Linked DNA regions of Macaca fascicularis. The protein of the gene in region 3 purifies or fractionates together with the protein of the main gene of each other region. This does not show direct contact. Links are inferred from orthologs where the notes say so. Each region holds a gene or a part of one and is shown on either strand. Other genes may lie near its edges. The genes, in order: HNRNPR, HNRNPDL, HNRNPH1, COPRS, HNRNPU, TARDBP and DDX5.

What was found.
Region 1: the proteins of HNRNPH1 (region 3) and HNRNPR fractionate together in Homo sapiens (co-fractionation; 3 studies listed by BioGRID and IntAct, with this or other methods). This does not show direct contact. The link is inferred for Macaca fascicularis from reciprocal best matches to the Homo sapiens genes HNRNPH1 and HNRNPR.
Region 2: the proteins of HNRNPH1 (region 3) and HNRNPDL fractionate together in Homo sapiens (co-fractionation; 3 studies listed by BioGRID and IntAct, with this or other methods). This does not show direct contact. The link is inferred for Macaca fascicularis from reciprocal best matches to the Homo sapiens genes HNRNPH1 and HNRNPDL.
Region 4: the proteins of HNRNPH1 (region 3) and COPRS purify together in Homo sapiens (co-immunoprecipitation; 3 studies listed by BioGRID and IntAct, with this or other methods). This does not show direct contact. The link is inferred for Macaca fascicularis from reciprocal best matches to the Homo sapiens genes HNRNPH1 and COPRS.
Region 5: the proteins of HNRNPH1 (region 3) and HNRNPU purify together in Homo sapiens (affinity purification with mass spectrometry; 4 studies listed by BioGRID and IntAct, with this or other methods). This does not show direct contact. The link is inferred for Macaca fascicularis from reciprocal best matches to the Homo sapiens genes HNRNPH1 and HNRNPU.
Region 6: the proteins of HNRNPH1 (region 3) and TARDBP purify together in Homo sapiens (affinity purification with western blotting; 3 studies listed by BioGRID and IntAct, with this or other methods). This does not show direct contact. The link is inferred for Macaca fascicularis from reciprocal best matches to the Homo sapiens genes HNRNPH1 and TARDBP.
Region 7: the proteins of HNRNPH1 (region 3) and DDX5 purify together in Homo sapiens (affinity purification with mass spectrometry; 4 studies listed by BioGRID and IntAct, with this or other methods). This does not show direct contact. The link is inferred for Macaca fascicularis from reciprocal best matches to the Homo sapiens genes HNRNPH1 and DDX5.

The regions. Positions count from the first base shown.
Region 1 is NC_088375.1:211,786,354-211,789,853, forward strand, and holds part of HNRNPR (heterogeneous nuclear ribonucleoprotein R), read left to right. Parts: coding exon 1-95; intron 96-3,214; coding exon 3,215-3,328; intron 3,329-3,500. UniProt on the Homo sapiens protein: Component of ribonucleosomes, which are complexes of at least 20 other different heterogeneous nuclear ribonucleoproteins (hnRNP). hnRNP play an important role in processing of precursor mRNA in the nucleus.
Region 2 is NC_088379.1:51,444,950-51,448,376, reverse strand, and holds the end of HNRNPDL (heterogeneous nuclear ribonucleoprotein D-like), read right to left. Parts: coding exon 3,351-3,427; intron 3,182-3,350; coding exon 3,067-3,181; intron 2,515-3,066; coding exon 2,344-2,514; intron 2,003-2,343; coding exon 1,932-2,002; 3' UTR 1,910-1,931; intron 1,544-1,909; exon of another isoform or gene 757-1,543; 3' UTR 501-756; downstream 1-500. UniProt on the Homo sapiens protein: Acts as a transcriptional regulator. Promotes transcription repression. Promotes transcription activation in differentiated myotubes. Binds to double- and single-stranded DNA sequences. Binds to the transcription suppressor CATR sequence of the COX5B promoter.
Region 3 is NC_088380.1:186,467,459-186,471,631, forward strand, and holds the start of HNRNPH1 (heterogeneous nuclear ribonucleoprotein H), read right to left. Parts: upstream 2,801-4,173; 5' UTR 2,372-2,800; intron 1,732-2,371; exon of another isoform or gene 1,332-1,731; intron 1,215-1,331; 5' UTR 1,184-1,214; coding exon 1,087-1,183; intron 1-1,086. UniProt on the Homo sapiens protein: This protein is a component of the heterogeneous nuclear ribonucleoprotein (hnRNP) complexes which provide the substrate for the processing events that pre-mRNAs undergo before becoming functional, translatable mRNAs in the cytoplasm.
Region 4 is NC_088390.1:38,091,665-38,094,243, forward strand, and holds the end of COPRS (coordinator of PRMT5 and differentiation stimulator), read right to left. Parts: intron 1,653-2,579; coding exon 1,434-1,652; intron 936-1,433; coding exon 766-935; 3' UTR 501-765; downstream 1-500. UniProt on the Homo sapiens protein: Histone-binding protein required for histone H4 methyltransferase activity of PRMT5.
Region 5 is NC_088375.1:4,318,098-4,321,597, reverse strand, and holds part of HNRNPU (heterogeneous nuclear ribonucleoprotein U), read right to left. Parts: intron 2,407-3,500; coding exon 2,267-2,406; intron 1,327-2,266; coding exon 1,227-1,326; intron 792-1,226; coding exon 679-791; intron 229-678; coding exon 1-228. UniProt on the Homo sapiens protein: DNA- and RNA-binding protein involved in several cellular processes such as nuclear chromatin organization, telomere-length regulation, transcription, mRNA alternative splicing and stability, Xist-mediated transcriptional silencing and mitotic cell progression.
Region 6 is NC_088375.1:223,784,474-223,787,973, forward strand, and holds part of TARDBP (TAR DNA-binding protein 43), read right to left. Parts: coding exon 3,499-3,500; intron 980-3,498; coding exon 809-979; intron 1-808. UniProt on the Homo sapiens protein: RNA-binding protein that is involved in various steps of RNA biogenesis and processing.
Region 7 is NC_088390.1:71,096,259-71,100,435, forward strand, and holds the start of DDX5 (probable ATP-dependent RNA helicase DDX5), read right to left. Parts: upstream 2,801-4,177; 5' UTR 2,672-2,800; exon of another isoform or gene 2,403-2,671; intron 2,152-2,402; 5' UTR 2,009-2,151; coding exon 1,965-2,008; intron 763-1,964; coding exon 597-762; intron 242-596; coding exon 145-241; intron 37-144; coding exon 1-36. Other genes in the region: CEP95 (centrosomal protein of 95 kDa), read left to right, coding at 3,012-3,030. UniProt on the Homo sapiens protein: Involved in the alternative regulation of pre-mRNA splicing; its RNA helicase activity is necessary for increasing tau exon 10 inclusion and occurs in a RBM4-dependent manner. Binds to the tau pre-mRNA in the stem-loop region downstream of exon 10.

The DNA.
Region 1 (3,500 bases), on a different chromosome or scaffold from region 3:
TTTTATGTGGAGTTATGAAGACCTACAGGCAGAGAGAGAAACAGGGGAGCAAGGTGCAAGAGTCCACAAAGGGACCTGATGAAGCAAAGATCAAGGTAAAACTTGGGTAGTTGTAATGAAATTGCATTTAATGATGAGGTCAAATGCTTCTTTCCATATTTCCTAGAAAGTTTCACTTTTTTTTTTTTTTTTTTTTTTTTGAGACGGAGTCTTGCTGTGTCGCCCAGGCTAGAGTGCAGTAGCGCAGTCTTGGCTCACTGCAAGCTCTACCTCCCGGGTTCACACCATTCTCCTGCCTCAGCCTCCCGAGTAGCTGGGATTACAGGCATGCACCACCACACCCGGCTAATTTTTTGTATTTTTAGGAGAGACAGGGTTTCACTATGTTGGCCAGATTGGTCTCTATCTCCTGACTTTGTGATTCGCCCACCTCGGCCTTTCAAAGTGCTGGGATTACAGACGTGAGCCACCACGACTGGCTGAAAGGTTCACTTTTTAAAACTGGTGTTTAGAAGTGAAATAATTTAGAGGAATTACATAAGAAGGATAATTTTGGGGGTCAGCACTCAATTGCATGTTTAATGAAAAGCCCTACTTCATACTCTTCCTCATTCCCTGTTTTGTGGTGATGAATGACGTGTATTTATTGATGCTTCTGCTGGTAGTTTCTTGGATTGATCCAGTAATGTCTCTTGGTTCAGTTCAGTTATTTTCCAGCCACTTTGTTTCTTTTCTTTTTTTTTTTTTTTTTTTTTTTTTTGAGACGGAGTCTCGCTCTGTCGCCCAGGCTGGAGTGCAGTGGCCAGATCTCAGCTCACTGCAAGCTCCGTCTCCTGGGTTCACGCCATTCTCCTGCCTCAGCCTCCCGAGTAGCTGGGACTACAGGCGCCCGCCACCTCGCCCGGCTAGTTTTTTGTATTTTTTAGTAGAGGTGGGGTTTCACCGTGTTAGCCAAGATGGTCTCAATCTCCTGACCTCGTGATCCGCCCGTCTCGGCCTCCCAAAGTGCTGGGATTACAGGCTTGAGCCACCGCGCCCGGCCTGTTTCTTTTCTCTTGATAAAAAGGTGTTACAACCGCTTTCCTCCTTTTGAATTTTCAGTTACCTTGGTTTCTTTATTTGTAAAATGGGAATGGTAATAGTGACTACCTCACAGAGTTATTATAAGGAGTAAATGAATTAACATATTATAAAGCACTTAGAATAATGCCTGGAATGTAGCAAGAACTATGTAACAGTGAACTGTTATTATTATTACCATTTTATTACTTAGATAAACAGCTTTGAAAAGTATATATACAGCTTTTAATGAAAGACCAGTGAACTTAATTCGTTAGTTAAATGGATGGATGTTCGTGTCTTGCTATAGTGATATACTTTTTTTTTTTTGAGACAGAGTCTCGCTCTGTGGCCCAGGCTGGAGTGCAGTAGCACCATTTCAGCTCACTGCAACCTCCGTCTCCTGGGTTCAAGCGATTCTCCTGCCTCAGCCTCCTGAGTAGCTGGGACTACAGGTGTGCGCCACCACACCCAGCTGATTTTTTTTTTTATTTTTTGGTAGAGTCAGGGTTTCACTGTGTTAGCTAGGCTGGTCTTGAACTCCTGACCTTGGGGGATCTGCCCACCTCACCCTCCCAAAGTGCTGGGATTACAGGTGTGAGCCACCATGCCTGGCCTGTGATAGACTTTTTGATTAGAAATAGTTATTTGGTGTTGAAGTTATTTCTGTTATTATTACATTGTAATATGTAATGAAATAATCATACAACTCACCATAGTGGAGAATTAGTGGGATCCCTGAGCTTGTTTTCCTGCAACTAGATGGTCCCATCTGGGCATACTGGGACGTAGTGACAGATCTTCAGGCATTAGATTCTCATAAGGAGCATGCAACCTAGATCCCTTGTATGCGCAGTTCACAATAGGGTTCACGCTCCTATGAGAATCTGATGTGGTTGCTGATCTGACAGGAGGCGGAGCTCACAGCTCAGGCAGTAATGCCAGCGATAGGGAGGATGAGGAGCGGCTGTAAATACAGATGAAGCTTTGTTCTCACTTGTCCACTACTCACCTCCTGCTATGCAGCCTGGTTCCTAACAGGCCACGGACCAGTATGGGTCTGTGGCCCAGGGGTGGGGAGACCCCTGTTTTACATTACATTTATGGCTCTGTTTCAGTCAAAGGTAGAAGAATGGAAGGCTGAAGGTATGCATCCCTGTGGAATCCTAGTGTTCACCGAACTTGATGATATCTAAAGTCTCTTGCCGTTCTGACAATGTGTGATTTTAAAAACCTGGCCGGGCGCAGTGGCTCACGCCTGTAATCTCAGCACTTTGGGAGGCTGAGATGGGCGAATCACGAAGTCAGGAGATCGAGACCATCCTGATTAACATGGTGAAACCCCGTCTCTACTGAAAATGCAAAAAATTAACCAGGTGTGGTGGCCCATGCCTGTAATCCTAGCTACTTGGGAGGCTGAGGCAGGAGAATGGCACGAACCCGGGAGGCGGAGCTTGCAGTGAACCGAGATCACGCCACTGTACTCCTGCCTGGGTGACAGAACAAGACTCTGTCTCAAAAAAAAAAAAAAAAAAAGGTACACTAGAAAGACAGTGGGGGCTGGGCACAGTGGCTCATGCCTGTAATCCTAGCACTTTGGGAGGCCAAGACAGGTGGATCACTTGAGGCCAGGAGTACCTGACCAGCCTGGCCAACATGTTGAAACCCCATCTCTACTAAAAATACAAAAATTGGCTGGACATGGTGGTACATGCCTGTAATCCCAGCTATTTGGGAGGCTGAGACAGGAGAATTGCTTAGACCCAGGAGGCAGAGGTTGCAGTGAGCCGAGACGATGCCACTGCACTCCAGCCTGGGCAACAGAGCAAGACTCCATCCCCCCCCCAAAAAAAAAAAGAAAAAGAAAAGAAAGACAGTAGGAAGAAATGGATGTGAGAGTAATAGTAAATGAGAGAAGCTGCATGGAGGTAAGACTTAATGCTGAATTATTTTTTTAAGGATAGAGAACATTTTATTTGAAAAGACTCACCAGTAGAAACGTGTGGGGAACCAGTGTGAATTTTGACTTTGTTTTACCTAACCATAAAAATATATCTCCTAGGAAGTTGGAGTACTTTTTGGAAAAGATTAATATACTGATGCTTGTGTGTTAGATTTAGTATTCAAGTATAAAGAGATGTATAATTATCTCTAGGCCTTGCTTGAGAGAACTGGTTATACTCTGGATGTAACCACAGGACAGAGGAAGTATGGTGGTCCTCCACCAGACAGTGTGTACTCTGGCGTGCAACCTGGAATTGGAACGGAGGTAAGTGTTCTTTAGCTGTTTACCAAGATCTTTCCAGTTTGGAAAGTGTTTTATCTACTATGCAGATACTATACAGATGGGGGAAAATTCTTGATCCGTTTCAAAGTTTAGCTGTTGTTATTTTTTAGATATCCATGTGTATTTTGCTGCCATCATGAGGATAGATAATCTT
Region 2 (3,427 bases), on a different chromosome or scaffold from region 3:
AGTTTTACAGTGCTCCTGTGTGCATCTGAATTTTTATCAAGAATTAAGTGATTGTGTTATGATTACAAAGCTTTTACCAGGTGACCACTGATTAAAGCCAAAGTAATTAGCGATTCAAAAATGGCTTTCCAGAGACAGGCACAAAGTAAAAGGAGCTAACAATTTTATTACAATCCAGAAGAAACATGGTCTACTAGAAAGCTTCTACTAATCACAACACTTACGTCTTCCTCTCAGGACAGTCTTCAGATAACCAGAGGGGAAAGAACATTGTTCAAAGGTGTGGTAGAAACCTCACTTAACAGGGAGAAGATGAAGCCTTAAGAGCATAGAATACACCTACAAATTGGGGAAGAGGGTGATGCTGGCTGGCTATTTATAAAGGACCACAGTTTCTCCGTATGAACCAATACTCTCTACAAAATCAACTGTGCCTTAATTATTGCTTATTTTAAATTACATTTTTACAGAGCTATGTAGTACCTGACGCAAAAAAGCAATCACATAAGGAAGCATTTATTTGAAGTTTAACATGAAATGATACAAATAAAATGTGTATAAACAAATCCACATTGAGTCATAACACAGATAGCAAAGGACAAAGTAAAAACAAAGAAAACTAATTGGCAGCTATATACAGTTGGACACAATCGTGTCTTGTACACTAGAAAGTCTTTTACAAAATAATCATCTTAGATCAACAGAAGACCAATCTTCAATGTCGTCCTGCAAGATGGGTTACTTTAACATCTCCTCCTAAAAACAAAAACAAAATACCAATTAGATTTGTGCAACTCTGACAAGCTTTTAAAGGTCCACTTTCATGAACTGTTTTAAGTCCTCACTTTATTCTTTTCTTCAATAATTAAAGATCATATGCATATTTATTGGCAAAATACAGTTTGGTTAGTCAATAAACTCACCCTGGAGTTCCCAAATAATAATAAATTCAAATCTATTCAGGAAAGAATCTGGGAATACAATCTTCCCATATTCACAGGTTCAACTATGCTAGATTAAGGTCTACTAGAAGCATCTCTAGTAACCCAAGTAAAATGCTATCACAAACACCAATTTCTAATAAGCTTATTACAAGAACATAAATTGAATTGTGCATATGATCTTTAATTTATATCCCAGATTTAAAAGTTCTTGTTTTGGTTTGTAGATTTCACTATTAGCTATAAAAAGAAAAAGCAAGCATTAAATCTTAAAAGAATGAACACTTAAAATGAGGCTCCACAATTGAAATACAACACTAAACAGAAGACCAAAATGATTAAGCTGTAAAAAGGCATTTATGTATTTTAACTCCTGTAAAAAACCATTTAAGTTAAGTTTAGACACTTAATCTCCAAAAAGATTAAAAAAGAAGCCAAAGTCTGAAGTTTTCCACTTTAATCTTTACGCTGGTACATGAAGTTGGAAGAGACCATACCACAGGACAGCGTTTTCTGGTGTATGCCTTGCGCTCTGCCCGCAACGTGCGACCCCCAGAGATAGACGTGGTCAGGGTGACACACGGCCTGCAATGAAGTTCCCGCTGGCGGGTACAAACAAGGTATAATGTCAGAGTTAGAAGACAACATTCTTGTTTTCCTTAAGTTGTACCCATTTCAGTACTTTACCTGTTAATAGTTCTAAAATGTTTAATTATTCCTCTAGACCACCTGGTACACAAAAGCAAACAGAAAAACTCTTAAGTTTTTCTGCAATACTAAAGAAAGTGAGATAAGACTTTAAAGTTAAAGATCTATAGACACTTTAGGCAAAACAGGCTCATAAAGCAATTAAAAAAAATCAACAATTTAGTAAGAACAAGCTACATAGTATTTTGTTTTTACGTTTGTCTATTGATCTTTAAATTAAATTAGACATTTCTACTGTTTTCCTGTACTCTTATACACACCTGTTTTCTCCAATGTTCTCCTTTAGTATGGCTGGTAATTGTTTTGGTGATTGCCACCCCCTCGAGATGCCTTGCCATAAGTGCTCTGTTGACCTATTTTGAAAACACAGAAATTTCATTAAGATAGTTTTCTACAAAACTGTTTCTTTACAAACACACTGAGAAATGATTAAATCTACAAATCTTTGCATGCTAAATAAAAAGTATTAAAATATTAAGATATTTTAACACCCATTATAAGCTAGTCGTAAATCATACATCCTAGTTCATTTATAACCACCAGACTATGTTAGTATAATCACCCTATGATTGTAACATGCCTCAAACACTTAACTCCAAACAGAAAGCCCGTACACACAATTTCAGAACAGGATTGTATGTTAACAATGAATTTTAATACCACTGGTTTATAAAATTAAGTTAAATATTCTTACCACTGTAGTCTGCATATCCCTGTCCATATCCATAGTTCCCATAGTTATACCCAGTATAATCATATCCGCCATAGCCACTATAGTTTTGATCACCACCATAGGCACTATTGTAATTTCCATATCCTTGATCATAATAGTTATTAAATCCTTGGTTCCAGTTTTGGCCCTGACCTGAAACAATGCACAATGATTGTTAGGAAACAACTTCTGACCCCCAATTCTAACATAAAATGATGCGTTCTTGTCTCTCACTCTGCAAATCTTAAAGGGCAGAATGGACATATATAGCACTATCTGCTTGAAAAACTATTCTTCCAGCTGTTATTAAAAAAGGGGGGCAGAAAGTCCAATTGTGCCAGTATCAAACTTCCTAAATTTAATGGAAAATCATTCAATTTTCCATTAAAGCTGAAGACAGGTATACTGTTCTGTTTAAAACAAGGACTCCTGCCCAAGAAAACCCATCACGCCATGGCGCATCATGTAATGGTACACTTTTCCTGTCAGTGATGACACTAATTGTCAAAATGGCCATACTTTTAACAGTTTTTTGAAACCAGTGAGCTCACAACAAAAACCACCACACACAACCCCCACTAAGCTGAACATTTTCCTCCCGCTGGAATTGTTTTAAGTTTAAAGTTTTAGTTTCGTACAGGACTACTCATATTTAGCAGTATACAGCTTAAACCATGGAGTCATATTCCAAGAATTAAGTCTCACCTCGGCCACGACCCCTCGTACCACCTCGGCCACCAGCCGCAGCACCTCTTCCACCTTTTTGTTGTTGCTGTTGCTGCCTATATACCTCTTTGGGTTGTGCAACTTTGATTTCACACTATAAACAAATTAAAAAACACGAAAATAGAATTTTTACTCAAGTTCTAAAATTTAATCATTTTATTTTTCTCAAACACATTGAGAAATTTCAAAAACTAAAAGATAAAAAAAAAAAAAGAAAAAAGAAATCCTTAAAATTTTCATTTAAAGTACTTAAATGGCTTTACCTTCCCAGAACCAATTTGATGGTATCTGCTTTCTAACAATTTTTTTACTGGCTCTTCATCGGTGTATGTGATAAAAC
Region 3 (4,173 bases):
GTGGCTTCCAGTGTACTTGGTTCTTGTTTTACAGGTCGTTTTCCGTTACCAATGCTAAATTCAGATAGTAAGTCAACACTACAAACGTCTTGCCAAAAGCTGTCAATTTCATACAAGTAGAATTTTATCAGTCTAATTTTTCCCAGTCTAATAATGGGAACAAGGACATTCTGATAGAAAATATTCAGGAAACCTAGGGACTCCAAAAACACTTCCCTGGGTTTCAGTGTTTTCAATTGTATAGCCAGCCAAATTAAGAACTAGATGAGCAAACACTCTTCAATTACCAAATCTTGATTAGGAAAACTGAAATTAAGACGTGACATTTTAACTTTCCGAAGAATGCTCCTTTTCAAGGAAACACCAGAACTGGAAACAAGAGATTACACTTCAAGATACTGAAAAACATTACTATTATTGGTCTAATTACTCGGCAATTTTCTCGAGATTGAGGAGGAAACCCACCTATGCCAATTCATCTTTTCGCAAAAAGACACCGGGGCCAGGCGCGGTGGCTCACGCCTGTAATCCCAGCATTTTGGGAAACCGAGATGGGCTGATCACTTGAGGTCCAGAGGTTCGAGACCAGCCTGGCCAAAATGGTGAAACCCCGTCTCTACTAAAGAAACAAAAATTAGCCGGGCGTGGTGGTGCGCGCCTCTAGTCCCAGCTCCTCGGGAGACTGAGGCAGGAGACTCGCTTGAACCCAGGAGGCGGGGGCTGCAGTGAGCCGAGATCGCGCCACTGCACTCCAACCTGGGTGACAGAGACTCCCAACACAAAGGAAAAAGAAAAACGACATCCATAAAAGAAAAGTTGGTGTTCAAAGGTAGTAAAGAAATCAAAGGGTCTGCCAGATCTGCCGCACTCCCCCCGCAGGGCCAGGAGGACGGGCGGGGCTTTCGAAAATTCCATTGCGTAACCGCGGCCGGCCGGGCGCGAGCCACACGGCGGTGAGTGCAGTCGCCCGCGCCTCGCCAGGGGGCGCCCCGGGTCCCGCCGCCCCGCCCCGCCCCAGCCCGGCTGCCCGCCAGCCCGCCCGCCCCGGCCTCGAACTCGAACTCCCGCGTCCTAGTTCTAACTCACCAGAAAAAAACCTCTGCACTTCATCGGCCGAGCAAGACCACGGCAAGCCCCGGACCTTCACCACGAATCCCTCTCCGCCTTCGGTGCCCAACATCATCGTCTCTTACGCGGTCCGGCGTCGAAACAAACTGCAAGGCGGGGAGGACCAGACCTGAGAGCGCCAATTAAGCTGTCCTCCGCCTCCGAGGCGCCCCCGGGCCCGCACCGGCCCCCCCACCAAGCAAAAACCGGGGGGATGCACCCACCCCGGCGGCTCCAATACCCAACACCTCCTCGTCCGGCGGCCGGACCCCCAAAAGCTGTTCTGAGCAGCAACCGTCGGCGCCCCGAACCGTGGGGGCCCGGGCCGAGCCAGCGTGGAGGAAAGGAAATGGCGGCGGCCGCTTCCGCTCCGCCTCCTCCGACTTCTCACACAATAGAGTCGGCGCGGCCTGCAGGCCTCAGCTGCGGTGCCGACATTCAGCGAACCACTCGCGGCTCTCGATGGCAGCCCGCAGCTCGCCAAGGTCCCCGTGGCCCTCCCAGAGGTATGAGGACAACCAATCCTCGCAAAAACGGCGCCCACGGTGGTCGGTGAACTGCAAGCGAGGACCCACCGAGACTCACCCAGAAACCCGACTTCTGCGTGGCTAAGACGAAATGGCCAGCGGGCGCCTGCGCAACCTAAATAAGGCCCTTTGTGCGAGTTCTGCGCACGCGCAGCCAGCTGCCCGCACCGCCCCGTTGCGTCACAAAGAGCTCTGGCGCATGCGTAGTTTCAAGAGCCAGCCCACCGTCCGCCGGCGGATTATTACACGCTTGGGTTTTGGGCGCAGCACCCCCACCCATAAAGCCGCCGGGCTTTTTATTGCGCATGCGCCTTCCCGCGAATATTGAACTTGGGAGTCTTAGCGGTTTATAATTGTTTCATGCGCATGCGTCTTCCTTGAAACCGTTCTCTAGCCTTACCCGCCAGCGTGGGGGAGGGGAATGGCGGCCGCCTGTTCCCTATGGGACTGTATAGGAGTCCCGAGCTCTGGGTTGAAGAGGTGGGCGTCTTTCTACCCCTTACCCCCTGGCTCTTACCGGTGCGCTCCTGGCCGACCTGAAAGGAGAGGCGCGGCCTTCAGGCGTTCCCACTCCCCGCGCCGCCTGTCTCCCCTTTATCCCCAAACCGGCCGAAGCTGATCAGCCGCAGATGGTCGAGCGTCCTGGGAGCTGCGGGGCTGCGGACGTCCCGCGCCCGAAGCCACCCGGATGGTGCCTGGGGCACGTCCCAGCCATGTGTGCCTCCACTTCCCCTTACCTGCGGTCGTCGGGCCTAGGGCCCCGGTCGGCGCGAGGTTCCCGTGCCTGTGGCTCGCGCCTGTACCCAGCTTTTGCCTAACGAACTCGCACCCTGTGTACCCCTTGACCCGCCTCACGGTCGGTGGGCCTTCCGTGCCCTGGGGCCCTGGCACGAGGAGGAATCGCGAGCGCGGGCTTCTCCACGGGTGCGTGCCGGCCTCTGCCCGGTAGGTTACCGCTGAATCTCCCAGGACAGAATCGGTAACAGTGCGTCCAATCCCCGGGCGTAGACGCCGCATTCGAGGAGACCCCCGGCTCACCCCATGTGCACACATGCTGCCAGATGAGTAATGTTCGTGGTTTCTAACAGCACTGCCCAACACCGAAGATGCCGTAGCCTCCCAGGCCTCCCCAGGTCTGATCTGGCTGCCCTCCTCACCCCAGCTCTAGTGGACACAGACAATAAACAAATTAACAATAAGGCAGGGTTGGACCTTGCCGCAGGGCTACCTTAGCTAGTGCAGGCCTAAGTGCCACCCTGGGAAGATGCAGACGAAGCATGTTTCCAACCCCAGGGCCACAGAGTCCGAATCCAGTTTTGACAGGTTTGAGAAAAGTAGAGAGGACATCAAAAGAAAGACGGGAGCCCAGAGCTAAGCAGGGCCTGATCTTCAAAAGCCACTTAGGCCTTGGCAAGGATGTTAACTCCGAGAGAAGGCTTTGGCAGGTGATCAGCAGGGGAGCAATAAGCCCTATGCAAAGGAAAACTTGCTGGATGTGAGGGGAATGCAGATGGAGCAGGCAGGGTGAATGACGGTACATGCCATGCCCTCTACTACAAACGGAACTGGAAGCACATATCTGTGGTACCATTTCAGAAAACACTTTGGCTGAGGTAATCAAAAAGAGAGACTCTGGCCAGGTGCGGTGGTTCACGCCTCTAATACCAGCACTTTGGGAGGCCGAGGCAGGCAGATCACTTGAGGTCAGGAGTTTGAGACCAACTTGGCCAACATGGTGAAACACCATCTCTACTAAAGATACAAAAATTAGCTGGGCATGGTGGCACACGCCTGTAATCCCAGCTACTCTGGAGGCTGAAGCAGGAGAATCACCTGAACCCAGGAGGCAGAGGAAGCAGTGAGCTGAGATCACACCACTGTCCTCCAGCCTGGGCAACAGAGAAAGACTCCCTCTCAAAAAAAAAAAAAAATTAGCCAGACATGGTGGCATATACATGTAATCCCAACCACTTGGAGAGACTGAGGCAGGAGAATTGCTTAAACCCAGTAGGCAGCGGTTGCAGTCAGCTGAGATCATGCCATTGCACTCCAGCCTGGGCAACAAGAGTGAAACTCCATCTCAAAAAAAATAGTAGTGAGGTAGAATAAATTTCATACATTTATAGCCAATGCTCTTATATATAAATTGTCCAACATATTAAAACAAGGTTTTTAAATATTTATTTTTTATTTATTATTTATTTATTTTTGAGAAACGGCCTCACTGTCACCCAGGCTGGAGTGCAGTGGTGCAAACATGGCTCACTACAGCCTCTACCTCCTGGGCTCAAACAATCCTCCTGCCTCAACCTCCTGAGTAGGTAGGACCACAGGCATGTGCCACCTTGCTCAGATAACTTTTTTATTTTTCTTTTTGTAGCAATGGGGTCTCATTTTGTTGCCCAAGCTGGTCTTGAATTCCTGGACTCAAGGAGTCATCCCACCTCAGCTGCCCAGAGAAAGTGCTGGGATTACAGGTATGAGCCACCATGTCTGGCAATGAAAGAAGGTTTTTTTGTTTGCTTTTGTTTTTGAGACA
Region 4 (2,579 bases), on a different chromosome or scaffold from region 3:
AGGATGGTCTCGATCTCCTGACCTCGTGATCCGCCCGTCTCAGCCTCCCAAAGTGCTGGGATTACTGGCTTGAGCCACTGCGCCTGGCAATTTTTTTTTCTTTCACAAAGTAGTTTTAAGCCTCCAAGCGTTTCAATCTTTAAAACGTCATTCAGGGACTTTAAATGAAGGAGTGAAGGCTGGGCATAGTGTCTCACACCTGTAATCCCAGCACTTTGGGAGGCCAAGGTGGGTGGATCACTTGAGGCCAGGAATTCAAGACCAGATTGGCCAACGTGGTGAAACCCCGTCTCTACTAAAAACACAAAAAATTAGCCGGGTGTGGTGGCATGCACCTACAGTCCCAGCTACTCGGGAGGCTGAGGCACAAAAATCGCTTAAACCCAGGAGGTGGAGGTTCCAATGAGCCAAGTTTGTGCTACTGCACTCCAGCCTGGCTGACACAGTGAGACTGTCTCCATAAATAAATAAATGGGAAAAAAGCAGACGAAGCATACTAGTTTCTTTTTTTCACCTTTATTTACAAAGAACACAACTCCTCTTGACACAAACATACACATTCCAAGGAGGAGCCCATTAGTAACAACAACAGACTGGGGAGAACGACGGGGCCTTATTGAACACTGTTCAATAAAGAACTAGTCTGTGTACTGCAGACTAGGGGTCACTGAGAACGTTTTCTCAGATACCACTTTTCACCTCCAAGACAGGAAAAGAGATCTTGACGTGGAGGCCCGCCCACCTACAAGGCAGAAAGCTCCACACTCAATCTTCAGCATCGTCAAACTGTCCTGTTTCAAAGACCATCTTGGAATAATGGGGTATCAGTGGAGGCGGATGGTGCCAGCTGGGGTCATAGATCATATCTCCTTGTGGGGCACAGCACACCCAAGGTTTGAGCTCTTGAGAAATGCTCTCCTGGATGTCGTCAGCATCTGCAGGCAGTTTTAAAAGACAGATTAAGGGAAGGAAGGAGGGAAGGAAGGAAGGTAAAAATGGACAGCCACAAAGTATGCCTAGGGGACAGATCCTTGCACTTATTTTGTTTAAAAACACACACAGTTCTCCTTTCCTGAAGAATTGTAAATGCATTCATTCTGAACAGCTGAGAAGCTGTGCTTCTCAGACAAGGGTTCTTAGCAGTGGAGAGGAAGCAAACTGGATAACACAGCACTTCTATCTGCAGCTGCTCAATTCATAGCAGACATTTTTGGAGACAGTGACAGTTTTGATGTTAAAACAGTGATACATTACGAAGTCAAATGTATTTTTTTCAATATAAAAGAGGTGTCACAGAAATTGCAGACCTGTAACAGATACCAGCCTAAGCTCATAGATGTGGACCCCTGTTCCAAACTGTCTGCCTTCAGCGCTAGTCTGACAGGTGTGTCTGAGAAGGCCTGGTTCAGGACCCCCAGAGACTCTACACCTACCATATGGATTCCCTTGATCTGCTTTCAACTCCAAGTCCCAGTCCTCATTAAAAATATCACCAGGCTGTTCCTTGGGTGGACAGTTTGTCCCTTCTGACAGCTCCCAGGTATTCAGTTCTCCATCAGAGTCCTCCTCATCCATGGCAAAACCTTCCTCTTCAGAATGGGTGCCCTCACCCCGGGCAGGACTGTCATTAGGGACGCTCTGTGCTCCACGGGCTAAATTGACAAAGAGAAGATGGCCTTAGTGACAAACCAAAGAGGACCTGCTGTGTGCTCAGTCAATTTTGGGCAGACTTACTAGGAAGGTAGTAAAGCAAGTACACAGAGTCTTCTTTCGCCACCTGAGCACTTTTTAAAAAATGCTCTTCTGTGTATGTTTTTAAAAGACCTGATAACTTATTTTCTTTTTTTTTTTTTTTTTTTTGGGGGGGGGGGCGGAGTCTCGCGCTGTCGCCCAGGCTGGAGTGCAGTGGCCGGATCTCAGCTCACTGCAAGCTCCGCTTCCCGGGTTTGCGCCATTCTCCTGCCGCAGCCTCCCAAGTAGCTGGGACTACAGGCGCCCGCCACCTCGCCCGGCTAGTTTTTTGTATTTTTTAGTAGAGACGGAATTTCACTGTGTTAGCCAGGATGGTCTCGATCTCCTGACCTCGTGATCCGCCCGTCTCGGCCTCCCAAAGTGCTGGGATTACAGGCTTGAGCCACCGCGCCCGGCCAACTTATTTTCAATAAGATGTTTTGTCTTATACAAGACCATTAATTGCCAGGTCCTTTAATTTACAAAGAGAGCTAGGGACAGTTAACATTTTCAGGTGGTTTGCATGTCTGTCACTGAGGCAAAGGGCCTCTGATAAATAATACGCTTTCACAATACAAGCTTGAATTAAGATTTTGCTTTTTTTTTTTTTTTTTTTTTGAGACAGTCTCACTCTGTAGCCCAGGTTGGAGTGCAGTGGCGCCATCTCAGCTCACTGCAACCTCTACCTCCCAGGTTCACGCAATTATCTGCCTCGGCCTCCTGAGAAGCTGGAATTACAGGTGCCCGCCACCATGCCCAGTTAATTTTTTTGTATTTTTAGTAGAGATGGGGTTTCACCATCTTGGCCAGGCTGGTCTTGAACTCCTGACCTTGTGATCCATCCGCCT
Region 5 (3,500 bases), on a different chromosome or scaffold from region 3:
TCTAACTCGATCCTCTAAGGGGACATTCTGGATAAAAGTATACTCTTCAGGTATTGGAAAATATGGCTTTTCCTTCTGACCAAAATTAAATTCAACTGCACAGTTGTGGCAGAGAACATGCGGGAAGAGTGGCCGTCCAGCAAGAACTTCCTTACTGATTTTGAAAGCAATGCCAAGATCTTGTCCATTCTTAGCATAGGAGAGTTCTACTTCATCACTTTCAAAGTTCTGTTAAACAGCAAAAAATTCAAGTTATCTGCTTCCTGTAAACTTTCTAAAAAACTAATAATTAAAATTAGGAGCAAAGCTTATCCTGTGGGAGCTACAGGTTAAACAACTATTAAGTGGCCTCTAAGGGCTACACAGTTAAGAAATCTGATGGTTACAAACAATGAAGCACGGATCTCCAGAACCAGAAACAATAGTGACCTAGAAGTTAGACTAAATTTTCTAGGTCAATTTCATCTTCATTGTTTTCAGTCAAAATGAAATTAGTGAGTTCCTCAAAAATGTCCTGTATTTTCCCAATTCAACTGCTGAATGAGTATTTATACTAACCCAGGGACTGGTGTATTTATGTTGCTCCTATTGAAGATTGACCTTAATAAAGCTTCTTAAAAGTTCCTAGATATAGCTACTAATTTGCCATTTATACATAGAAAGTTAGCTTTAACTTACAGCAAAACATGTAATCACATCATTTTCATCAAACTTTTCTCCATAATCTTCAGTCTCACAGTTGCATGTTTTTATTCCTTTTAGAGAATACCCGTAAGAAAATTCTTCTTCACCTAAGAAAGTAATTAACCTTCGTGAAGCAGATTTTTAAAATAGTCCAAAGACTCATCTATTTCACTACTTAAAATGTAGGCTACAAGAGAAATGAGCATATAACCTAATCACCTGTCACTGACACTATTACTTTTCTACCTCTGTACTAGAATTGATGAAAGTTAGGAGGGATATATATATATGCAGAGACCAAATTAGTTGACAATTTGCATATCATGGGTAAGATTTTATTTCAACCATAAACTTCTAATAAAGGAACAAAAACTAAAATGTAGCCTGTGCCTACTATGTGCTAATATTACTTGTCTGAAGTATTAACAGAATAGATAAAAACAGACAAAAGGCTTAGAATGCCTTCTAGTCTGGTTAAAAAATAAGGATATCAGACCCTCCTAAACATTCATGAGCCCACATCAGTCAAAAAGAATCTTTACCAAGTAACATTCCACTTGTAGTTAGTGACCAGCCAATACGAACTTCATGTATGTCAATATCTTTTGTATATAAATGCCTTACTGGGATCTTCTCTGTAACCTGAAAGTCGAATCATTAAATAATTAAAATCATAAACCAAGGAGGTAACCCCTTAACTCTGGCTTATTTCATAGGGTCATGAGCTAATCTTCCTCGAGCTATAAATACAAAGAGATGGCACACTCTAGCCCATCCCTAATATTTGTAAGAACTTTAAACTGATGTGCTTATAACTTGAAATGTTAAATACTTATTTGACCCATACTTAAAAGAATAGTTAATATTTTTACAGTTCATGTTGTCAGTCTTCAACTTAAAGCCAATTAAAGGATACATTTAATGTTTTTCTCGCCAACAAAACCTGTAATCTAACCAAATTTTATTTTTCACTCTTTGGTGGCCCTTTCAAATGCTTGATAAAAATGAAGTACCCTAAATAAAAAGTTGCCTAGCTCTGCATGTCAAGTTCTAACATAACTTAACTGTCACAACAAAATGAAGGTTCCAAGTTCCTCTTTTAATTTACAGGAAGCTTCAAAAAATAAGTACCTCTGATAACTTAGCAGTATGAAGCACCTGTAATTTCAGTATTCTGGGAGGCCCAGGCAGGCAGATCACCTGAGCTTACGAGTTCAAGACCAGCCTGGGCAACATGGTGAGACCCTGTCACTATTTTAAAAAGAAAAAAAGAAAAGAAAAAAAAAGGCTGGCTCAAGTGCGGTGGCTCAAGCCTGTAATCCCAGCACTTTGGGAGGCCGAGGTGGGTGGATCACCTGAGGTCAGGAGCCCCGTTCTCTATTAAAAATACAAAAATTAGCCAGGTGTGGTGGCACGTGCCTATAGTCCCAGCTACTTGTGAGGCTGAGGCAAGAAGAATCACTTGAACCCAGGACGAGGAGGTTGCAGTTGAGCCTGGGTCACACCACACCAATCCAGCCTAGGGGACAGAGTGAGACTCTGTCTCCAAAATCAAACAAAAACATCATAAAATTGCATTTACCTTCATCTCAAAACACACTTTGCCTTTTGACACACCATAAGATGCTCTTCCTCCAGCCCAAAGAAAAGCAAAACTTTCCATTGTAAGGGAAGAAGCACTGAGACGATCTCTTGATATTTTAAAATGTAGATCACAATTATCTGTAATTATATCAAATACTGTGTTACTTTTGACATCCAATGTAAACATATATGCTATGTAGAGAAAACTTGGTTATTTAATTTTTGCATGTACTTAACGCTGCACAACTTTTCTCCACATCATGCTGTTGTTCCAATTTTCAGTTTAAAGCCCCACTCCCACCAAGTCACTCCTTTTAAATTATGTACTGAAAAGTAAACTGCCTCTGAAACTAATACCAAGGTTTAACATGTATATTTTAAGTATTTAAAATAATCAAGACAATGTGACATTAATACATACCTGCTCTGCTCTTTACCTTGATTTAGAGGCAAGCAGTAGAGGATAGCAGGAAATCAAAGTGAAGCATGCCAGAACCAGGTAGATTTACCAGTGCCACATTAAAACTGAAGGGAGGCCACGACCAAATTATTTTGAAACAGGAGTATGAGCTGCTGTTGATCCTGCACCAGGGCTCTAGCTCCTAAATTCTTCTTCTAAAACTTGTGAAGAAGACAGCCTAAATCTATGAAGTACAAACCTGGCCGTCTAATGCTGTTAATAGTGCAGCATTTTAGGTCCTCTTTACCCAGGACTGCCTGTTCAACAATTAGGGATTAACTGCTTCCCGGATTATCCAAATCCAAAGTGTCTTTAACCTAGCTACCTATGGGTCACTGGCTCATTAACATGCACCTTCTCAGACTTCTCACTTCAACAGCTAAAGTCAAGCTGGAATTCAATTTTTTTTTTACTGATCAGAGAAAAATAAATCTACAGTTTGGAATTTTTCTTAAATTAGAATTACTGTAATCAGCAGAATTTAATTCAACAGATTGTTTGAATTCAACATTGTGTTTATATTGACATATGCCTATCTGATTTGCTAAAAAATCTAACAATTACATTACCTGCATGAGTCACCACTTCACTACCTTGCCAATTCCTAGCAACTTTTTATTTACACAACCCAGAATTTCACATAAAACTTTCAATTCAACTAACTCCTTTTTCACCTGCAGTTTTTTACTTCAAAAAGGCTCAGATGACTATCTCAACCTTCTGTAAAGGACATTCCAGTAAGAAAGAGTTTTACATTTACACTCTTACAAAT
Region 6 (3,500 bases), on a different chromosome or scaffold from region 3:
AGGGAGGCTGAGGTGGGCGGATCATCTGAGGTCAGGAGTTTGAGACCAGCCTGGCCAACATGGTGAAACCGTGTCTCTACTAAAAATACAAATAAATTAGCTAGGCGTGGTAGCAGGCGCCTATAATCCCAGCTACTTGGGAGGCTGAGGCAGGAGAACTGCTTGAACCCATTAGGTGGAAGTTGCAGTGAACCGAGATTGTGCCACTGCACTCCAGTCTGCGCAACAAGAGCAAAACTCTATCTCAAACAAAAAACAAAACAAAAAATGGTATATAACATTCCCAAATGCCACATACTGAAAACTATCTAAAGGTATACTTACTTTTAGATTTTTTAAAAATATTACATTTGGGATATCAGATACAGGTATCACAAACGTCTAGGCCCATACACCCTACATCTTACAAGGTCAGAAAACTCAGCTAAGACTAGCAATTAGCTGGATGGGAAATGTTCAAGAGAAATTACCTAATTACCTGGGACATATTTTTTTTTGAGACAGTCTTGCTCTGTCACCAGGCTGGAGTGCAGTGGCGTGATCTCAGCTCACTGCCACCTCCGCCTCCTGGGTTCAAGTGATTCCCCTACCTCAGGCTCCAGAGTAGCTGGGACGACAGGCGTGCACCACCATACCCAGCTAATTTTTTTTTTTTTGTATTTTAATAGAGACAGGGTTTCGCCATGTTGGCCAGGATGGTCTTGATCTCCTGACCTCGTGATCCGCCCACCTCAGCCTCCCAAAGTGCTGGGATTACAAGCATGAGCCACCACGCCTGGTCGGGACATATTGTTAAGGAGAAAAATACCTGATCATCTGCAAATGTAACAAAGGCAAAGGCCCTGAACGGCTTGGGGATGAAGACATCCATCACATCCCCGTACTGAGAGAAGAACTCCCGCAGCTCATCCTCAGTCATGTCCTCTGTACAGCGCCCCACAAACACTTTTCTGCTTCTCAAAGGCTCATCTTGGCTTTGCTGATCAAATCAAAAGGAAGAAAAAAAAACTCAGAAATATGTTATGAACAATGAAAAAAGCATTAAGGTAAGGGATATAACAAAATCATTCTGCCTTGGATAGCAGTGAATCATTAAAAAGTAGACATACCCTTCATTTTTTGCATCAGCATTTTTTTTCTTAAAAGGCTTCAGTGAAGAGTAACGTTTTAAGTTACAAAAGTACAGTCATGCATCACATCACGATGGACATATGTTCTGAGAAATACATCATGAGCCATTACACAATTTCATCATTGTGGCCAGGTGTGGTGGTGAACGCCTGTAATCCCAGCACTTTGAGAGGCCGAGGCGGGTGGATCACCTGAGGTCTGGAGTTCAAGACCAGCCTGGTCAACATGGTGAACCCCCAGCTCTACTAATACAAAAATTAGCTGGGTGTGGTGGCAGGTGCCTGCAATCCCAGCATCTTGGGAGGCTGAGGCAGGAGAATCACTTGAATCCAGGAGGTGGAGGTTGCAGTGAGCCAAGATTGCACCTTTACACTCTAGACTGAGCAACAAGAGTAAAACTCCGTCTCAAAAAAAAAAAAAAAAAAAAAAAAAAAAAAAAAAAAAAAAAAGGCCGGGCACAGTGGCTCACGCCTGTAATCCCCACACTTTGGGAGGCCAAGGCAGGTGGATCACCTGAGGTCAGGAGTTCAAAATAAGCCTGACCAACACGGAGAAACCCCATCTCTACTAAAAATACAAAGTTAGCCAGGCATAGTGGTGCATGACTGTAATCCCAGAAGCTCGGGAAGCTGAGGCAGGAGAATTGCTGGAACCTGGAAGGCGGAGATTGCAGTGACCCAAGAGCACGCCATTGCACTCCAGCTTGGGCAACAAGAGCAAAACTCCGTCTCAAAAAAAAAAAAAAAAAAAAAAAAAAGCCAGGCGCAGTGGCTGGGCAGATCATGAGGCCAGAAGATTAAGACCATCCTGGCGGCCGGGAGCGGTGGCTCAAGCCTGTAATCCCAGCACTTTGGGAGGCCGAGACGGGCGGATCACAACGTCCGGAGATTGAGACCATCCTGCCTAACCCGGTGAAACCCCGTCTCTACTAAAAAATACAAAAAACTAGCCAGGCGAGGTGGCAGGCGCCTGTAGTCCCAGCTACTTGGGAGGCTGAGGCAGGAGAATGGCATAAACCCGGGAGGCGGAGCTTGCAGTGTGAGCTGAGATCCGGTCACTGTACTCCAGCCTGGGTGACAGAGCGAGACTCCATCTCAAAAAAAAAAATAAATAAATAAAAAATAAAAGACTATCCTGGCTAACATGGCGAAACCCCATCTCTACTAAAAATACAAAAAATCAGCCAAGCGTGTTGGCAGGCGCCTGTAGTCCCAGCTACTCAGTAGGCTGAGGCAGGAGAATGGCGTGAACCCAGAAGGTGGAGCTTGCAGTGAGCTGAGATCGCACCACTGTACTCCAGCCTGGACGACAAAGTGAGACACTGTCTCAAACAAACAAACAAACAAACAAAAGATCGTCATTGTGCAAACATCATATAAACCCAGATAGCACAGCCTACCCCACACTTAGGCTAGATGGTATAGCCTATTGCTCCCAGGCCACAAACTTCCAAGTTACTGTACTCAACACTGTAGGTGACTGACTGTAACATGATTGTAAGTATCTGTGTATCTAAACATAGAAAGGGTACCATAAGGCCGGGCGCGGTGGCTCAAGCCTGTAATCCCAGCACTTTGGGAGGCCGAGACGGGCGGATCACGAGGTCAGGAGATCGAGACCATCCTGGCTAACACAGTGAAACCCCGTCTCTACTAAAAATACAAAAACTTAGCCGGGCGGGGTGGCGGGCGCCTGTAGTCCCAGCTACTCGGGAGGCTGAGGCAGGAGAATGGCGTGAACCCGGGAGGCGGAGCTTGCAGTGAGCTGAGATCCGGCCACTGCACTCCAGCCTGGGTGACAGAGCGAGACTCCGTCTCAAAAAAAAAAAAAAAAGAAAGGGTACCATAAAAACAGTGTTATAATCTTATGGGACCACTGCTGTACACGTGGTCTGCTGCTGACTGATGAACTTTGCCATGTGACGCATGACTGTATTTGGATTTGAGAAAATCAATAAATACGCAATCTCCTGGCAAAGATGATGATGTTCCAAATAAGCAAATGTTATTTGTTTGCTTGGAAAAAGGTCTTTATAACAAGATTAATGTACGTATTCTGATTGTCTTTATGTTTTAACATATAACTATGTAAGAAACTGTTAACTTGACAAATAATCTTTCCTCTTTTCCATGCATAACAAAAAGGAAGAACAAAATGAACAAAGGTTTCATTTGGAGAAGTAATAAACTAAATATTTCAAACAAGCATAAAATATTCAGCATGCATTAAGGGCCAAAGACTTCAACAAGACAAAAGGATTTCATGAACACACCCTACCACTATCTTTTCTAAGTGTGTTTACATTTTATCTTACAATCTTCTAAGGAAGTTTGTCAGCAAAAAATCCCAAAGCACAGACCCAAGTACCT
Region 7 (4,177 bases), on a different chromosome or scaffold from region 3:
TGAAATTCTGTCTTGCAATAACATCCATGACATTTGCTATAATTAGTGACAGATATTTAACAAAAATTAGTGATGCCAAGGAAAGGAGGAGGTAGGTGAAAACAAAAACACAGGGGTAGGGTAGAACTGAAAAGTAGCACTCACCAGGGAAATTAGCTTCATAAAAATTTAGAACTGGCTTCGGGCAGTTGTGACCTCTAACTGTAATTTCCTTGCTTCTTCTGTATGTTTCCACCTCTTGCTGCAAAACAAATTATAACAGTCTTAAAGCTCATGACAACCACCCCTAACTAAATACGTAATTGGCAAGTCCGTAACTTCATAATTTAGTAATTAGTTTAAAGTAGCTTCATTTTAATCTGGAACCGCGTATGAAAACCCTATATGACAAAAAAACCGTTTATTCTGCTATACTCAATCTAAAAAAAAAAATTCCCAAAGCCACCTATTTGCAAAAGTGAGTCACACCTTTCCCAATTATGAAGTCAGAAAACGTAACTCTACCAAAATTGAGTTATTTGCAAAACACCTGTCAGAATTTCATTTACTAGACTCCATTGAGTTACAGCCTGATGAAGCCACATGAATTTACTCACTGCTGTCCGCCTAGCCAAATCAGGGTGCTCTTGATAGAAATTCTTCTCAAACTTGGGCAGCTCATCAAGATTCCACTTCTTTTTAACTAGTTTCTCCCCAGGGTTTCCAAACTTCTTTCCAGATAAGGGCCCCGCCCTACTTCCTCCAAATCGAGGTGCACCAAACCTGGAATGAAGAAAAAAAGTTATTTACATTTTCAAATGGCTACACCTAGGTTTCTGGACAGATTTGTTTACCATCCCTTGGCACAAGCTAAAGATCACTGAAAGCCGACTTCGAGAGGTAAACCTAGCACTGTCCTTAGTGATAATCTCTCTCTCAACAGCCACAGTTAACGTTTCCCGTAGTCCCAAGTACACACAACTTAGGCCACGTAAACAGCCTGGGATTTACTATATCGAAAACTTGTCACCCAGATGCCAGAATTTAGTATTACACACCACTTCTTGTGGTTACTATTATCTTTCTCACCAGTCTAGCAATTCATTATCAGTGATAACAAGCCTACATGAACCGAAGAGCATCACAACGATGTTACTCATATGGCCGTTTTCAAGCCAAAGAGCTTTGATGTCAACAATCTAGACAGCACAGACAACGAAAACGAAACAACGGTTTAGAAACACTTCTGCTAGCAAACCGAGCTGGGGGGACGCCGCGGTAGAGCTCCGGATCAACGAATTAAAATTATATAACGCAGGAAAAAAGAAAAGGAGGAGCCGGCGACTACCGGGGGAGGAGTCCCGGCCCGGGCGGAGCCGGCCGGGCGGCGTTCCCGCTGGGGCGGCGCTTCCCCCTTTGTCTCGCATTTCTCTCTGCGCCACATTTTCTCGACGCTGCCATTTTGAGCTCCTCCGCCGGGCGGAGTAACAAAGGCGCCGCCGCCATGTCCAAGGCCGGCATTTTATACCCGCGACTCAGCCACATGGCTGATGCCGGCCGCCCTCCTACCCCCACAGCACCAGTGGCTTTGGAGGTGGTCCCTTCGCTCCCACAGAATGCCCGACCACCCCAAAAACACCTCCCGAAAGGCCGCACCTAACAGCTGTTCCTTCGTCTGCCTCGAAGCGTCGCGCTTTCATCCGAACAATGCGCTCCCTCTGAATTCCCTCAACAGCTACCAAATGGCAGCCGCCCCGACGGCTCCCCGACCCCCACACAAAAAGCGAGGATGAAGACACTATCCCGTCAAATCTCTCCCACTCACTGTTACGTGAATATCAAAATGGCGCAAGCCTTCGGGAAAGGAGGCCCCAAGATAGCCCGGAAAGGCCGAGTCCAAGCCGCAAAGCCCCGGCCCGCCGCCACCCTGACCCGCCCTCCCATCCCCCACCCGCCAGCCCTGACAACTCGGCTCCCACACTCACCCTCGATCCCGGCCGCGGTCTCGGTCACTCGAATAACCCGACATAGCGTCAATGGTTGCGGTTGGCGGGGAACGAAGTAGATAGAAAAGGGTGCGACGAGTCGCTGGAAATGGCTTCGGCGACGGCGAAGCCTTGCGGGGGCGGCAGCGGAGGAGTGACGGCGATGACACCAGCCAAAGCTGCACACCTAGAGACCGGTGGAAATGAATGAGGTGCCGGCCGCTTTCCGGCAGCCGCTTTTATAGTCTGGACCTCCTCCTACGCCGCAAGGCACGCTGGGAGCCGCTCTATGACCTAATCGCCCCGCCCCTCGCGCAGAGGCCGCAACGCCCGCCGGCGTTCCGCGATCGCCGCGCTTTCACCCCACCCCGTGCCGCTCTCTCAGGTCAGGGCCCACCCACCATTGAAATGCCTCATTCTCCACTCTCTTGACCTCACCTTCTTCTCGTCTTTCCACACCTCAAGAAAGCCACCCTGCCCTTTCCCAAGCCCAGCCAGACGATAAAACAGCCAGCCCAAGCCCGCCCACCCTCCCCACTCGGAGGTGTTTACGTCTCCAAAGAGCCCTCACGCCTGTAACCAAATGAGAGGGAAGGCGGGGGCCTGGCGTTGTCACGTGACGTTACCCCCCCACCGCCCACCGTGACAGGGGGCCGCACTACTTCCCCGTTGACGTCGGCGGAGGGATACATAACGAAATAGCTCACCGGAAGTGCGCTGCCAGCACCCGGGACCCGCCCCCAGCTGCCGGCTAACTTGGACCGTCCGACCCACGGGTCTGACAATCCTGTGACGGGTTTTGGCCGGCGGAGAATGGTCTCTAAACTTCCCAAACCGCTTCCGTGGCACGTGCTGTGAAAGGAAGTGCTCCTCTGATGACCAATCAGCGGCGAGAAGTTCTTTTAACGTCCCTCCCTCTTTCACGCCTCCTTCCCCGCGCTTTAGTTCGTGCGCCCGCCCCCCAGCGTCTGCTCTGCGTTCGGTCCTTGCAGGACACCGTCGCCGGTCTGGCAGCGTCGGAGTCCGGCGGCGACCTGCTTCCGAGACATGGCCCGCTCGGAGGCTGGTGAGTGTTTCCCTGGGGTCGCGGTGTGTGTTTACTGAAACTGTCCACCTTCAGGGAGGCCTCGGGCTAGCCCGGACTGGGTCTGGGGTGTCGGCGGGGCTCGTTACTGTCAGACGCTGCGTCGCGGTGGCGGGTTCTCTGGATAGGGTCTCTCAGCTTCACCCCCTCTTCGCTTTGAGGCCGTGGAACAGCAGTATGAGGTGGGAGAGAGGCACTGGGGCGAGGCCGGTAGGACGCTCGGGTCCTGGCTGCAAAAAGAGCAGTCAGAAGGGTCGTCCTCGGACTTGTCTTTCTGTGGGGCGTCTAGCCGCTGTCCATGTGCCCTCCTCCCTTGCACTATGGGCCCTGAGGTCGTACCTCCTTTTGTAGTGGTCTTTAAAGGAACGGCACTCTTAAGGTTTATTCATGCCCCTGCCACAGAAGAATAGTGGTGCTTTTTTCTCTTCAGTGCCCTCTAGAGTCATGGGCTTTGTCTAGCACCGCTTTTGAAGAGCGAATTAATTTGGTTGTCTAGGACGCTTTCATCCTTTTCACTAGGACTGCGTACAAACCAGTTGTCATGGTTTGGCCAGTTGTGAGAAATGGGCTTGGAGAGGGGGGATTATGTGCCTGGAAGATACACTCTCATTCGTTTCCAGAACGTCATGTGTCCAGAACATAGTGGAGATGTTTGTTTCTAATATCGATTGCCAGTGCTTTCCTACCAATCGTCAGGCATTTCAAGGAACAAGTATTTTAAGCTAAGTTGCTTTTGGTAGAGAAACTGTTAAACTTCGCAAATCCCAGCAATATCTAGGGGAGAGGAGAATGTGGTATGCAGGAAACGTCAACAGTATTGATAATTCTGAGCTTCATGTACTTCCAATATTTTGTTTCATGTAGATCAATATAATAAAAAAGAAAAACTAAGAAATGCATTAGTGTTGATGTTGTCATTATGCCAGTTCTTAACAGCCTAAGTTTAATCACCACTTATTTGGGCACCAGAGAAATCCTGACTTGCACAAGATAATTGGGTAAACACATGACCAATACTGTTGGGAGTTTGAAGCAACATATTTTATTAATGACTGTCTAGTAACTTCAGATTATTATTAAACTGTTGCTTATGACATAATATTCCTGTTTACTTGTAAACATGTTTTAA